Coturnix japonica: one gene and its partners. The protein of the gene in region 3 purifies or fractionates together with the protein of the main gene of each other region. This does not show direct contact. Links are inferred from orthologs where the notes say so. Each region holds a gene or a part of one and is shown on either strand. Other genes may lie near its edges.

Region 1 (3,500 bases), on a different chromosome or scaffold from region 3:
ACTTTGGACATTTTGCTCATAATGTTTCATCCCTCAGAATCAGAAGGGGTTTGTTTCTGACAGCAAATCTGAGGGCAAAAAAAATGTAGGTTTCCTTTACCTTTTCATTCAAATACACCCAACTGCGTTTTGCAGGGTTTGTGGTTTTTTTTTAAGAGAATTAAGCCAAAGCTACAGCAAAAGAATGCAGTTAGAGTCATGTTTAGGTAAAAATCTTCTGTCTCACTGCAAACCTAAACAGACACTTATATTCAACTTAGGGTATCCTGTTCTTTCCATCTAGCTGTGACTGGGCTGTGTGGCATAGCTCATCCTTTTGTGTTCTTGCTCCTGCTGGTTTCTGCCAAGGCTCCAACATCCTATAACGTATCAAGACATCATAGAACATTCAATTTGTGCTGTGCTCAGAAACGGCTCTGAGAGCCAGTCAGGGATCTGTGCTGCTTCACCAGCAACACTTTCATACCAAAATAACAAGCACTTGCTATTTAGGTCAGGAAAATAGGATCTTGGTTGGATCTATATTCCTCATATCTTGTTTTCCACAAAAAATAAAGTGCTCAATTCTCCTCTTCCTTTTAAAAATATATATCTGTAAGCTCCCTCATTCCAGTAGTTTCAGCATTGTGAAGTGTTGGAACGTGATGGAAAACCAGAACTGGCATCCTTAGTGGAGAAAGTAAATAGAGAGCAGGAGTCCTTTGGTATTGTTGGGTCTTGGGCACTCTTGTGGTGCTCTTCTTCACCATGTGAGGAAAACAACTTGCCTCCAGAGGCTGGATCCTTCCCTGGCACCCAAGGGGTTCAGCCTGATCTCCTGAGATGCTATTTGACTATCAGATTACTGTGCTGCACTGCTTCCTCCCAGAGGTTCAAGCATTTGTCTCAGCAATTAATGGAGAACTGAGGTGTAAAGATATCTAGCACTTGCACGTGTGGGTTATTTGTTGATTATGAGGGAGTGCATGTTTGGGAGAACAAATGCATCCCACACAGCAGGATCTCCTTTAGCACTAGTACAGTGCTGGCTGTTGTTTTCTAAGACAGTGCATTCCAGCTGGGGTGTTTCTACTAATTAGTTATGTATTTTCTTTGAGAGAATAAGGACTCAGGCTCTGCCATTTCAACATCTGTAGTAGCATGCAGGTTTCTGGGCATGATGGAACACATGAAAAGAACATGTATTACCAAGTCTGTCTATTTGAATGGTAAATATCTGCGATGTCCTGGCTAAAGCTGAGAAATAAAAATATCACCAGTGGTGACATTAGCATAATTTGGAGCATGTGGTTTGATCTTTAGATTCAGGCATAAGGTTTTGTGTCACTGCAGTGTCAGCACCAAGGGGAAGCAGGGAAAACCACAAGCTTTTAATATCTCCTCAAGTCCCTACTGAATTTGTTCTCAGTATCTAATATATCCAGACATATTAGATGAGCTGAGTAGGAACAGGAAACAGATTCCAGCATTCCCTCACAATGATTTTGAGCCTGGAAAATGCTGTTTTCATTATGCTTATCCTATGATTTACCTTTTCTAAAGAATCACACCATTTCTGTGCGCTAGGAAGTTTACTAAGCCTTCCTGATAGACACCATTCTCTTAAGAAGTAGTTGCTGTGACTAAAAATTTGTTTAAAACAAGGGAAAACAGCATGTCAGAACATACAAAAATTACACATCCCAGCTCTCATCCTTGGCTGAATTTCAAAGATCACATATGGTCAAGGTAAATACAACTGCCTCCTGTCAGGATTGGTGTCTGTTTCCACCCAAGTTAGTATGTGCAAAAGCATATTCACATGAATCCAATACAACCCCTTCTATGGTCCATAAGAAATTTCATTTACTTCATGGAAGATGTGTCTTCGAGGGAGAACCCTTTGAAATAAAATAAGCAGACATCCCAATAGCAGGGGAAAAAAAAAAAACCAAAACAGGCCTTTTTTGATTCCTCCAGCTCTCTGAAGTGCTGAAGAATTATTTGGCAGCTACATCATTGCTATTCTGAAGCCCAGGTGCCAGATGCTAGGAAGGCCAATGACTTGGCAGAGAGCAAGAAGAAATCCACAACCATTCTGGCATGGCTCCTCTGCACTGCTCCTTCCTGAGGCTGCTGCTATAGGTGGAATCCTGCCTTCATCCCCCCCAATTCCCAAAAAGAAGTCAGGGTCTGTCTTCAGCCCTGGTGGCACGTGTCATGAGTGGGGTTGATTTTTCCCCATTGCTTCTGCAGTGAGATGGGGCTCCCAGTGCAGTAGAAACACGCAGCTCTTCTGAAAGGGTCCCCCACCTTTGGGGCTGCAATATGGCTTCAGATTTTTGTGTTTGGCTGGATGAATCACAGGGAAAACCAGATTTCATGGAAGAAAAGCACATTTCAACCTCCCACCCCCACCCACTCCCAAGTCCAAAAGTTACAAGTAAAATTGGTCACAGGGATGGAACAGAAGAACATGCACTCAACAGGGCCAGATGGGAAGATAAGTCCTTGTAGTGAGCATACCCAGTCTTACTTTGTTGCCAGGTCTCACGCCATCAAGTTCATCCTCCCAGTCATCCTGGGCTCAGTCTCTTCTCCCTTCCCAAAGCACACAGGGTTAGTGTCACACTAGCAGGTGGTGGCCAGTGACTGGTGAATGGGAGGCTGGAAGCAGCGCACGTGCTCCACTGTGGAACTGTCTGTTTCCACTGACTTCATGTACTTGTTCAGGATGGCAAAAATCTCATTGTTGAGGATCTGATACTTCCTTATCCTGTCAGCCATCTTTTTCAAGGGCTGGAGGAATGGTGAGAAGGAAAAACAGTAGGTCAAGAGAGTCTTATGTCATTTAACCAGCCAGAAAGCATCAGTACATCTGCCCTGCTGCTGAGAAACCTCTGCTAATACAAAGCAGCTATAGCACGTGTTACAGTTCCACTTAGCAGCTACCATGAGACTGGTGACTCACTTCATTTTGGGGTTTGATGACTCAAGACAGAATTAACAAGGTCAGTGTGTGGTTCTATGTAAATCGATCTAGAGTCTGGACTCCCAGCTGCTTATTGATGAAGCCGCAGAGATCAGATAATGGTTGATGGAAGTACCAGCTTCTCTGCTCCAGCTTCCCAACCCCAGGAAGAAAGGAAAAGCTTTGGGAGAAGAAAGATTTGATTGTCAAGCCAATTAAAATCCTGGCCTCTCTGCTGAGACTGCAGGTGGATATCTCACAGCAAGCATATTCAGCTTGAATAAGATCAATGCCTGGAAAGTTTGTAAGTTATAAGTTTGAACAAGGCAAATCAAAAAACAGAGATGTGTGCTAGCTCAAGTCTTTCAGAGCCTTACCCTTCAACTTACCACATTTTTAATGATTTCATCCTTCCCGTCCTGCCTCTGCACCTTCAGCAGGTGGTAGCAGAAGTCAAATAGGTCAAAGCGTCGTTGTTGTCCAAGGAGAACAATGATAGAACAACCTGCCCAATTCAGACCATCTCCAAAGCACTGCCTAGAATGGGGAC
Region 2 (3,500 bases), on a different chromosome or scaffold from region 3:
GAAAATACGAGAAAACACAGACTACTCAAAACATGCAGAGCTTTTTTTCCTTCTTTAACTCCATCAGAAACACCTGTCAAGCATCTGCACCTTTTTTAGTGAATCTGACTTGGGCTGGGCTTGTTCATGCTGCTTAGCTTTAAATGAATCTTTTTATTTTCCCCTTGTGTAATAGCACTGGGCCCAAAGGAACCCATTACATCTTCTATTACTGCCTGCTGGCAAAGAACTATCAAATGAGACTCATTTTGTAAGTATAGCCCATTTTACACATGCTGTTAGCTGAACAGAAATACTGAAATTTGCTTAATTCTTGCACAGAGAGTAAGGAAAATGCGAGATAAGTTCAAATGCCTTCCCCAGTCTTTAAGCACTACCATTCTCTAGCACATTTTAGCACAGACCAGGGCTAATACAAGATCATTTGTGATAAACTTGTAAATTTTGAGTGCAAAAGAGGATACTGAAAGTGAAAAGGTTTCCCAATCCCTGTTCTTTGAGAAAATATACTGTTTTCTACTCATCACATTTAACCTCGTCTGGTTACTCATCCAGGACAGACATTTGTGAATAAGGAACACTGGGTATGGCTCAAGGACTTCTTATGTTAATAAAAGGAGTCATTTAATAGCTCCCAGCACTGAGGACTGCATGTGTTCTTCTGATGCATGAACCATCACAGCTCTCTTATAGAGTAAGAGACAAATCCAGGGTATCAGATTCAAGTCACATTTAGTCACTCTGGCCTGGATCAAGCAGACTTATCTGTAGCTCAGTTTTCTTGAATTGCAACATCTGCCCCTTTTCTTACAAACACACTTTAATAAATATATCACACAAAATATGCAGCACTTCGAAAAGTTATAATCTAGTGCATCTGGAATATACTGTCTTTAAAAATACTTCCAGCAATTCTCTAGCATCAAATAGGTTTGAATATTTAGTAATGAAACCTACAACCAAACTTGTCAAAGGCCACTTACTGGAAAGTACAAATTTCCATCTTGTTATCCTGTGACATCCTTAAGACGTTTTAACTGTATAGTCTCCAAATTAAACCAGGAATGCGAATGGCTGCCATACCAGACCAGTCGTATCAACACAAATGCCACTCTGATTATAACAGTAACTATGTCGTTCAGGGTAAATGTGGAAGTGACATTAGCAATCTGGTGTGTTATAGCCATTAAAGGATTACAATTGCTGACAATCTATTATTGTACACAAAAAGGATTTTTGCCATTATCCAATCATAGTAAATATGGCATTTTATTGGAAAAAGAAGTGTGTATGATTTATGCTCAGCTGTCAAGAGACTTGGAAAATCCCATTTATGTAAGAATTCCCTTAGGCAAGCCATGGTTTTGTGGAAAATCTGCTACTAGCTGTTAACAGCTGTATTTTGAAACCTGCTCTAAAATAAATGTCATGCAAAGTACAGAATCTAAATTTCCTTAATTTGATTTTTCTTAATAGTGAAATTTCAACATACGTAAAAGGACGCAGCCAAAGACCACGTTACTGCTCTGACACTTCATTTTTCCTGAATGACACACCACTATCATACCTACACATTCAGAACTGAAACAGCTTTCTACACTTTAGAATTGGATACCACATTCCATCAGAAGTTATTTTTCATAACCAGATGCTGCTCTATTTTCCACATTTCAAACATGTAGCCTAGAATACCCTACTAACTGGGGTTACAGGATCTTTCCTTATTTCCCCATGTAACCAAGAGATATCTAGGAAGGCAAAAAAGTTTCCTATTTGAGTATTAGCTAATCTTATTGTCATATAGACACATCACAAAGCTCGCATACCATTTAAATCCAATAAAAATTCTATTTTGTAAGCACAAGCTACATCCTATTGAGTGTCAGAAGTACTTGTTTTCTTTGGGCCACTAATCTTCGTATTACTTAAAGCAACTTAGGAAAAATTTGGGGGAATAGTATATAACTTTACATACAATCTAAGATGCTATCAAGTTAAATGCAAAAACCCTATCTGGACAAACAATTACATACCAAGGCAATCATTAGGAAGGTTAAAAATATAAAATGAAGGCATACTCCCAGGATTTCCAATAATGTTACAAAGCACTACTATTAATATGAATCACAATAGTACTAAAGTTACACGTTTTCAAACAAACATCACTGTCATATTTTGCCCTGTGTTCTTATAAATGTAGTTTATTATTATTTCTATTTTATGTATCGGCGATGTTTGAGTGACAAAATAAGAAGCCTTCAGTACAGGTCTTAACTTACATTCCTCTTCTTTTGGATCAAGTTGTGTAACACTGACAGACAGGCGATCTACACGTTCTTGTAAGGAGTTGACTCTAAATGAGAAACTGTGCGCTTCATTGAAAAGTTCGCCAAATATATCTTCAGCATATTTACCTAAAACAGAAAAGAATAAAAAGATAAGCAGGCATACCCCACAAGACAAGCTTGCCTTTAGAATGATTTCTGATAACTACAGAATAAGTACATTTCAGGTGCATGACTACAATTTCCAACAGCCTACACTTACAAAGCAAATTCAGAATGCTTCAAAAATGTAAATAAAAGTTAAATAGTAGAAATTACTAAAAAAAAATTTTTAAAAATTAGAAATTAATTTACTTATCATAAATGAAATTATTTCATACATTACACGACAGACATTCAGCTGGTTTAAATTGACCCAACTATGCAGATATCCAAGGAGCTAGACCAACTAGCTTCTTGGATTTGCATAAAAGGATGATCTACAGCTTTTAAAGCTGCCTCTGTATGAGCATTAACTGAACTTTCCAGGTGAAATCAATCACATTTCTTAAAGCACAGCTCCCACTCCTGTGGTTCAGAAGACCTTTCAAAAATGATAGATCAGACGTCTACTTCTAAGTTTATTAGAAACAACCTAATCAAAAATGCACATTAGAATAATACACTATACTTTGAAAGGTCAAAATTCTAGTAAGTGGCTAATTTACACTGAAGTAGAATAAGAATTCCTTTTGTTCAGTTCAATGGACATCACTTTTAGTCCAGCAGATAAGGAGATTCAGGTCTGAGAAAAGGCTTAGTAATGTTCTAAATAAAAATGAGGACACAAGGACATTAAAAGGAAAAGTTAAATTGCCACAGGTGGTTTGTCAGCTATTTAAGGATACCAAATGGATGGAGGTCTGGAGAACAACTCTTATGAGGAGCAGCTGAAGAAACCAGGATTGTTTAGTCTGGAGAAGAGGAGGCTAAGGGAGACCTTATAGCCCAAGGTCCCCATCTCCCTTGTCAGAGATATTAAGATTGGATGCTAGGAAAAATTTCTTCTCAAAAGGAATGGTCAGGCACTGGAATATGCCACGTGAGAGGTGGTTGAGTCACCATCCCTGGAGGTGTTCAAGAAACATTTAAATGTTGTACTGAGGGATATGGTTTAGTGGGGAAATACTGGTGGTAGGTGGTTGGTTGGACTGGATGATCTTGGAAGTTTTTTCC
Region 3 (4,116 bases):
AGGCCCTGGAGGGTGTCCAGAGAAGGGCAATCAATGAAGCTGATGAGGGTTCTAGAACACAAGGCTTGTGGGGAGTGCTAAGGGGTTGTTCAGACTAGAGGAGGCTCAGGGGAGACCTTCTCTCTCCCTCTATAACTGCCTGAAGGGAGGTTGTGAGGTGGAGGTCTGCCTCTTCTCCCAGGTAGCAACAGTAGCAGGGGAGGGAATGGCCTCAAGCTGCACTAGGGAAATCTCAGGTTGGATATTAGGAAAAACCCCTCAGAAAGAGCGGTGAGGCCCTGGAACGGGCTGCTATGGAGGCAGTGGAGTCACCATCCCATGAGAGAGGTGTTCAAGTAAAGAGTAGATGCAGCACTGAGGAACACGGTGAAAATGAGCTGATGGCAGGACTAGACGATCACAGAATCACAGACTGACCCGGGTTGGAAGGGACCTCAAGGATCATGTAGTTCCAACCCCCCTGCCTGGCAGGGCCACCAAACATACACCTTTACTAGATCAGGTTGCCCATGGCCCCGTCCAACTTGGCCTTGAACACCTCCAAGGACGGGGCATCCACAACCTCCCTGGGCAGCCTGTTCCAGGGCCTAACCACTCTCCTAGTGAAGAACTTCCCCCTAACATCCAACCTAAATCTTCCCTCTTTTAACTTAAAACCATTTCCCCTAGTCCTGCTATTGTCAGCCCTTTCGAAGAGTTTACTCCCCTCCTGGGAGTAAGTTCCCTTCAGGTATTGAAAGGCTGCAATGAGGTCACCCCGCAACCTTCTCCAGGCTGAACAAACCCAACTCCCTCAGCCTGTCCTCATAGGGAAGGTGCTCCAGCCCCCTGATCATCTTTGTGTCCCTCCTCTGGACCCTTTCCAAAATCTCCATGTCTTTTTTGTACTGAGGGCTCCACACCTGGACACAGTACAACAGATGGGGCCTCACAAGAGCCGAGTAGAGAGGGACGATCACCTCCCTATCCCTGCTGACCACCCCTCTCCTGATGGAGCCCAGGATCCCATTTGCTTTCCGGGATCTGAGAGGTTTCTCCGAACCTCCTACAACAGAGGCAGCAGCGCTTCCCCGATGGAGCCCTTTGCCTTCTGCTGAGGAGCCGACACTAACACAGCGCAGCAGGAGCGGACATGGGGCTTTTGTTGCCGCCTGACACAACACAACCCAGCTCAGACACCTCCATCCCCGCCGGGCGGCGCTGCCCGGCGCCATGACCGACCCCACCCCGCTCATGCGCACGGCGGGGCGGCCGGCGCCTACAGCTCCCGGCGTGCTCTGAGAGCGGGCGGGGTCTTGTCTCTTTTTTTTTTTCTTTCTTTTTATTTTTTTCCCCTGTGAGGGCAGGATGGGTGGGGATACTGAGCGCTCACGAAAGCGAGGCGAGGAGGAATCCCACAATACCAGGCGGGTTGTGAGCCCGGCGCTGCCGCTGTCTCTTTAATGCAAGAGGAAGCGATGCGGAGGGGTGGAAAATGGCAGAGTTGCAGATGTTACTAGAGGAGGAAATCCCTTCTGGCAAGCGGGCTCTGCTCGAGAGCTACCAGAACCTCACTCGAGTCGCCGACTACTGCGAAAACAACTACATCCAGGTGAGGGGCGGCTGTGGGGCGGGGTGGGATGGGTGCGTGGGGCCGGAGCCGCCTCGGGGGCAGCTCCGCCGCTCCCCCGGATTTGCCTTTTCTTTCAACTTTCGCTGCCGAACAACCGGCTTTCCCCCCCCCCCCCCCCCCCAGCCCGGCTCCGGAGGGGAAGGGAGGGGGTTTATTATATTATGTCAGTCCAGCTCGGAGGAGGAGGGTGTGTCTTTTTTTTTTTTAATATATTTTTTTCCTTCCTCCCCCTCCGTGTGTATTCCTCATGAGTCACATCCCGGAGACCTCCTTGGGCCGGGTGTGTGTGTTGGTGGGGGGGGGCGGCTTCTCCTTGCGGCCGGTTCGGAGCCGGCGCCTCGGGGGCTGCCCTCCCGGGGCGGCGGTTGGCGGCCGTTGGTGAGGCGGCCTCGCTCCATCCGCAGCGCCGCGGCCGAGCCTGGCGGGCACCGAGCAACGCCGTCCTCACAGGGAATCAACGGCGGTGGTGGCTCGTTCGGGCCGTGGGTCGCCGTCTTGTAGTGCCGCAACGCGGGGCTGGTCGCCGAAACGGGCGGCGTGTGGGAGCTGGGAGCGCCCGTGTGCGGGGACTGACGGGCGGGCGTGATGTGGTGTTTCAAAATGGCAATCCGTGCCGCGGTCCGACATCCTGGAGCTGCTGCTGCTGGAGGCTCCGGGGCTGCGGCGTGTCCACAGCGCCCGGCGTGGGCTTTTTCCGTGCATGGCCCGTGCTTCCTGCTCTTCACTTACGGCTGATTTAGTGCAACTACCTCCAGCTTTTCTGTCATTATTATTATTATTTTTTGGTCAAGATTTGCAGCTCACGACTCTGAATGTGAGTCTGAGTATACAGCCATGCCAATGTGGATGTGGAACCGTCAGGAAATGTTCAAATCAAACCTCTTTTGGGAAAGAAAAATGGCAAGGGAAGGCAAATAATTTTCCCTTTACTAGAAGCACTGCTCGTGCAGTGAACTTGTTGAACCTAACAGTGGATTTACTCGTGTATTAGAGGCCCTAGCACTGCTGCCCAGAGAGCAGTGGGTGCCCCGTCCCTGGATATACTCAAGGCTGGGCTGGATGGAGCCCTGGGCAGCCTGAGCTGCTGGCTGGGAAGCAGCCCATGGCAGGGGTGGAACTGGGTAGACAGTCTGTAAGGCCCCTTCCAACCAAAGCTATGCTAGGGTTACCTACAGCGAGCATTTAATACAGGTTATTCACATCTTTGTCATCTACTGTTGCCAGTGAGCTGTCTTACTGCTTGTAGCAATGGAACAGTGAATCTGAAAATAAAGCTTTAACAACTCAGTGTGAATTTCTTTTTTATTTTATTTTATTTTTATTTTTAGTGATTTTGATGCTCAGATTAAAACTGCACCAACAAGTCATATTTTGAGGCGTTTTGTTATTTTTGGTATGTGAGGGAACATGAGTTAATGTGTATTTACTCTTCCGATTTGTTTGCTCCACCCAGAGAAAGCTGCTGATAGAAATGCTTCTACGAGGCGAGGTTCATTTGGTTTTACTCATGGGAAATATGACAAATACTTAAGTGTGGTAACCGCGGCACAAGTTTTGACCTGCCTGCTGCTGCTCCCAACTTGCTGCTGCTCCTGACTTTTTCCTCTGTGTCAGAAAGTTAGAGATGCTTCAGTCAGATTGCTGTTCAGGGCCATGGAACTTGTGAGTCTTAATGCAGACAAAGAAATAAACCGACACTTGGGGTAGTTACCTTCCATGCGCTTGGGGGTGGTGTGTTTTCATTTTATTTTTAAGTCTGGTAGCTGACTTTCACCTCGGGTACCAATATAGGCTGCAGGGATTGCTGCAGCATGGTCTGTCTGCATACAGCTGTGTTTACCTCTTTGGAAGGAAGCTGACATTCTGAAGTTCCTAATGAGGACTTACGCAGTAGCTCTGAAAAACGTATGCCTGGCTATGTTGTGGATGTGTCACGCATTTACTCAACTTGGTAAAAATGACAAATGTATTGATAAAACTACATTTACTGTCTTAGAGTGGTAAAGGCGGACTTTTTAATCAGCGCTTGGTGCCAAGCCATCTGCTCTCCAGTTGGAGCGCGGAGCAGATCGTGGTGGTGAGGCTGCGGGAGGATTAGGCAGCGTGACACGGGGTGCTGGGTTATGAGAATGGGGAGAGCATGTGTTTATATGGGATTGGAAAGGGGGTGAGAAGAAAGAGGAAGAGGCTTAACACAAAATACAAGTGCTTGCATTTCATATAGTGGGACAGCTAACTACCAATCAATGCATCAGGGTGCATTTACTTAAATAATAATAATAGTCCAGAACAAAGAACATGGGTATTGAGTGTTAAAAGAGTTCGGAAGTGGATGTGCATTGTAGCTTGGCCCATAGCATGTAACTGTTTCACTCTGGTTAGCTTTGAATTTGAGCCATTTACTTTCTTTCTTCGGAAAAGTCTCTGTGCTCCTCAATGGGGAAACTGTTCCTGTGTGTTACCACCTGTGCTGTGTTGTAGTGTGGGGGTGGAACGGGTGCCTG
Region 4 (3,500 bases), on a different chromosome or scaffold from region 3:
TTTTGGTCAGTCGGTATTTTCTAGAAAAACACAATTGTTAAATAATAAATATAAATAGTGAAATTCATGAAATGCTTTTGTTCCTCAAAGCCTGTCAAGGTGTTCAATTAATTCTTTAACCCTCATCTATCCCACTGTAGTCTGAAAAGTCTGTTAATCTCTAAATTCAATGTAGTTTTGTCCCAGCAGTTATATATTCTTCCTAAGAAGTTAGATGTTTTTATTCCAAGGTAGAAGTGGGACTTGTAGAATGAACTAGGCATGGACAGATTTGGGTCTTGACAAGCTGTATAGGAAATTAATTTGTCAGCTCAAGATATGTAACAGAGCATCCTAAATCCTGTGAGAAGCTGTGACCTATTTAATGCAAGGTCTATTAAAATAATGCCGTATCAGAATTTCTCTTGTAGGCCTCCGGTGGGGGCAGATTCCAGTGATGGAGATATAGGAACCTAAAGTTCAGGAAATATACTGAAAAATTCATCTTTATTAAGCTAAAGAGAAATTGGAGGCTACCTTCTTACAGGAGACTGCATTACTACTAGTTATTTTCCAGATTCTCATGCTACCATTATTTATTGACAGAAAAAAAAATAAAAAAATAAATAATAATTAATTAAAAAAAAAATGGAGAGGGAAAAATAGCTCATGCAGTAATTGCTGACTTTGGATAATTACAACTGTTCAGACAAATTTAGTATCTAGATAACACATCCACCTGATGATAATGTTTGAGCCTGGAAAAGTGACTAAAGTACCAGCTCCCAGAGAATGGTACCGTGTTTTCTTTGTTCTGTTTCCATACAAATCCCAGCTTTTTTTCTTTTTTAAAATGGAATACGATAAGAGGTTCTGTAATCAACAGATAACTTCATGAAGTACATGATGAGATCATTAATTCATATATCTGCTTAGTCTAGATGAGAACTGACAGACTCTGCTTCTGTCTCTTCAGGCTAGCTTTATTCATGAAGATATAGAAAGTGCAATCAGTGACAGCAAGAGTGGAAAACAGAAGAAGAGACTTGAAACACTGAGGTAAAAACCTAGTTTCTTGGCAGTATAGGGCGTCATGAAGCATGCCCCAAGTTTGTCTGCTGTTTCTTTCTCTTTTGTTTTGTCTAGTTGATAATATACTTCAAAAAGCATATGTGGTGGATTTGACTTACTACGTCAAGCTCTCTTGGATTATAGTTTCACTCTTTACTTTCCCAATTCTGCTTTAGTAAGTGGAACAGCTGACGTGAATGCAGGTTGCTAGAGAATAGCATTATGTGTCTTGAGTTCTGTATTTGGGTAAAGTAGTTCAAAATTTGAATTAAATATATAAATGTTCCCAAATTCCAAGTAAGGAAAGTTTGGGGATCTGAAGATGTTAAAGAAAACAACAACTAAAGATGAAAAAAAAACTCCTGCCTGCTTATTGACTCGAAAAACTTGTTTCCCCGGTAGGAAAAATTTCTCTCCCAATTGGAAAAAGTGGAGTAAAAGGGTCTGTTGGCTTCAGATTATTACAGAAATGAGCAGTAGCTGGTGCAGGCATAGAAACAAGGGCACAAATATGTTAAGTACTGAATAGGATGGTGGTGGTCTGTGTGCTGCATCCTGAAGATATTCTCAATAATATTTCTCTGGCTCAGTAAGAGAATTCTCTGCTGTACAAAAATCTTCAAGTAAAAATGTCACTATTATATAAATTTATTGCTGCCTTAGTTGCCTATTAAATTCTGATGTGCAACTTGTGTTGTTTTCATAGAATGATGGACACTTACATTGAAATGAAAAATATAAAGGAAGAAGTGCATCAAATTTTACATATGGGTTTAAAATTAAGCAAGTAGGCTTTAATGTTTGAGGTATGGTAACAGATAAGTGTAAGCACAGAGATGTGTATCACAAGGATTCAAGCACTTTGGGTGTGGGGGAAGGCTGATGAGATTTAATTAGGAAATGAATGTAGGTCAGTACATCCACAGGGAAAAGTAATCTGACATATCAGTCTCTAAAAGCTTTGAGGCCTAAAGGTCATTAGTGCATGACAGTTCAGTGCTAGATACTTGCTGTCATGTCATGTATGTGTTAACATTGGGCCACGAGAAGAAAGCATTTTCTAGATGGGTCCTGTTTGACTAGTCTGGAGATACTGTAGTAAGTCTGGCACTGCACCATCAAATTGCTGCAAGATTATTTGCAAGTAAAAAAGTGTAGGAGATACAAAAGAGAATGCTCAGGAAACTCTAGGAGACCGGAGGAAGGAACTGTGAAGAAACCATCTTTTTTTTTATGAATGACCAAATTGTGTTTTTGCTGTTGTTGAATGCCATGAATGAGATGGGATCATAAAGTGAAGAATTTAAGATGAAGATCCTTCTTTTAAATAGGGATGGAATGTGCATTTCAAAGGATTTGTTGGGATTTTTTGTCTTTTGATACTGAATTACAGAATGACTTCAAAGATCTCTTTCCTTGTGGTTTGATCTCTTTCCTTATGGTTTTTAAAGGCGGATTAAGAACCAGAAAAGTGGAAAAATGATTTTAAATTGAGACAGGGGAGGTTTAGGTTAGAGATTGGAAGGAATTTTTTCACACAGAGATTGTTGATGCACTGGAACAGGTTGCCCAAGGAGGTTGTAGATGCCCCATCCCTGGAGGCATTCAAGGCCAGGCTGGATGTGACTCTGGGCAGCCTGGTCTGGTGGTTGGTGACCCTGCACATAGCAGGGGGTTGAAACTGGATGATCATTGTGGTCCTTTTCAACCCTGGCCATTCTATGATTCTATGAAAATTCAAAATAGGAATAGTCATACATTTGCATCAAGATAGGATGAACAGATTGATCTAAAAAGGAAAATCATCCTGTGAATGTTTTTGTTGGTAGGGTTTTAAGAAGCTGTTCGTTGTCAACCCATCAAACATAAGGAACAGGTACACAACTGATGATGGCTGAAAGATGACTCTGAATGAAGAATTTAGAACAGTATTCAAGTCTAACTATCAGTACACAAAGCACAGCTTCTAGCCATAGAAGCAATCAGATCTCTAGACAGCACATTTTCTGTCAGTGCTTTGGAATTTACCATAGAATCATTAAGGTTGGAAAAGACCACTAAGGTCATCAAGTCCAACAATCAACCCATCACCCCTTTTCCCACTAAACTGTGTCCCATATATGGGCTGCGTGAAAGACTATTTGTTTTATTGATGCACATTTTTCTAACTTCATCATAGCAAGGGTTTCCTGTTATGTTTTATCTATTTACATACCCTGACCTTTAGTACTTGTGACTTGGCAAGTCCATAGCATGTTTGACAGTAAAAGGGTCCTGGTAAACCTTGTTTTCTTCTCTGATTACGCACTAGAAATGTGTTGACTTCACTGATGGGCCCCTTTGTCTTCCTGCAGGATGATCTCCAGTGCTGATGGCGCTATCCCTCCACCACCACGGGCTCCTGCCCCTGTTCCCCCAGGGACTGTCACCCAGGTGGATGTGAGAAGCCG

What was found. The genes of interacting proteins can lie anywhere in the genome.
Region 1: the proteins of ABI1 (region 3) and CYFIP2 purify together in Homo sapiens (co-immunoprecipitation; 4 studies listed by BioGRID and IntAct, with this or other methods). This does not show direct contact. The link is inferred for Coturnix japonica from reciprocal best matches to the Homo sapiens genes ABI1 and CYFIP2.
Region 2: the proteins of ABI1 (region 3) and WASF1 purify together in Homo sapiens (affinity purification with mass spectrometry; 6 studies listed by BioGRID and IntAct, with this or other methods). This does not show direct contact. The link is inferred for Coturnix japonica from reciprocal best matches to the Homo sapiens genes ABI1 and WASF1.
Region 4: the proteins of ABI1 (region 3) and EPS8 purify together in Homo sapiens (affinity purification with western blotting; 4 studies listed by BioGRID, with this or other methods). This does not show direct contact. The link is inferred for Coturnix japonica from reciprocal best matches to the Homo sapiens genes ABI1 and EPS8.

What each region holds. Positions count from the first base shown.
Region 1 is NC_029528.1:13,078,828-13,082,327, forward strand, and holds part of CYFIP2 (cytoplasmic FMR1-interacting protein 2), read right to left. Parts: intron 3,488-3,500; coding exon 3,340-3,487; intron 2,779-3,339; coding exon 2,611-2,778; 3' UTR 1-2,610. UniProt on the Homo sapiens protein: Involved in T-cell adhesion and p53/TP53-dependent induction of apoptosis. Does not bind RNA. As component of the WAVE1 complex, required for BDNF-NTRK2 endocytic trafficking and signaling from early endosomes.
Region 2 is NC_029518.1:60,697,578-60,701,077, reverse strand, and holds part of WASF1 (wiskott-Aldrich syndrome protein family member 1), read right to left. Parts: intron 2,415-3,500; coding exon 2,280-2,414; intron 1-2,279.
Region 3 is NC_029517.1:14,486,412-14,490,527, forward strand, and holds the start of ABI1 (abl interactor 1), read left to right. Parts: upstream 1-1,316; 5' UTR 1,317-1,474; coding exon 1,475-1,591; intron 1,592-3,250; exon of another isoform or gene 3,251-3,265; coding exon of another isoform or gene 3,266-3,274; intron 3,275-4,116. UniProt on the Homo sapiens protein: May act in negative regulation of cell growth and transformation by interacting with nonreceptor tyrosine kinases ABL1 and/or ABL2. May play a role in regulation of EGF-induced Erk pathway activation. Involved in cytoskeletal reorganization and EGFR signaling.
Region 4 is NC_029516.1:57,642,518-57,646,017, reverse strand, and holds part of EPS8 (epidermal growth factor receptor kinase substrate 8), read left to right. Parts: intron 1-955; coding exon 956-1,038; intron 1,039-3,404; coding exon 3,405-3,500. UniProt on the Homo sapiens protein: Signaling adapter that controls various cellular protrusions by regulating actin cytoskeleton dynamics and architecture. Depending on its association with other signal transducers, can regulate different processes.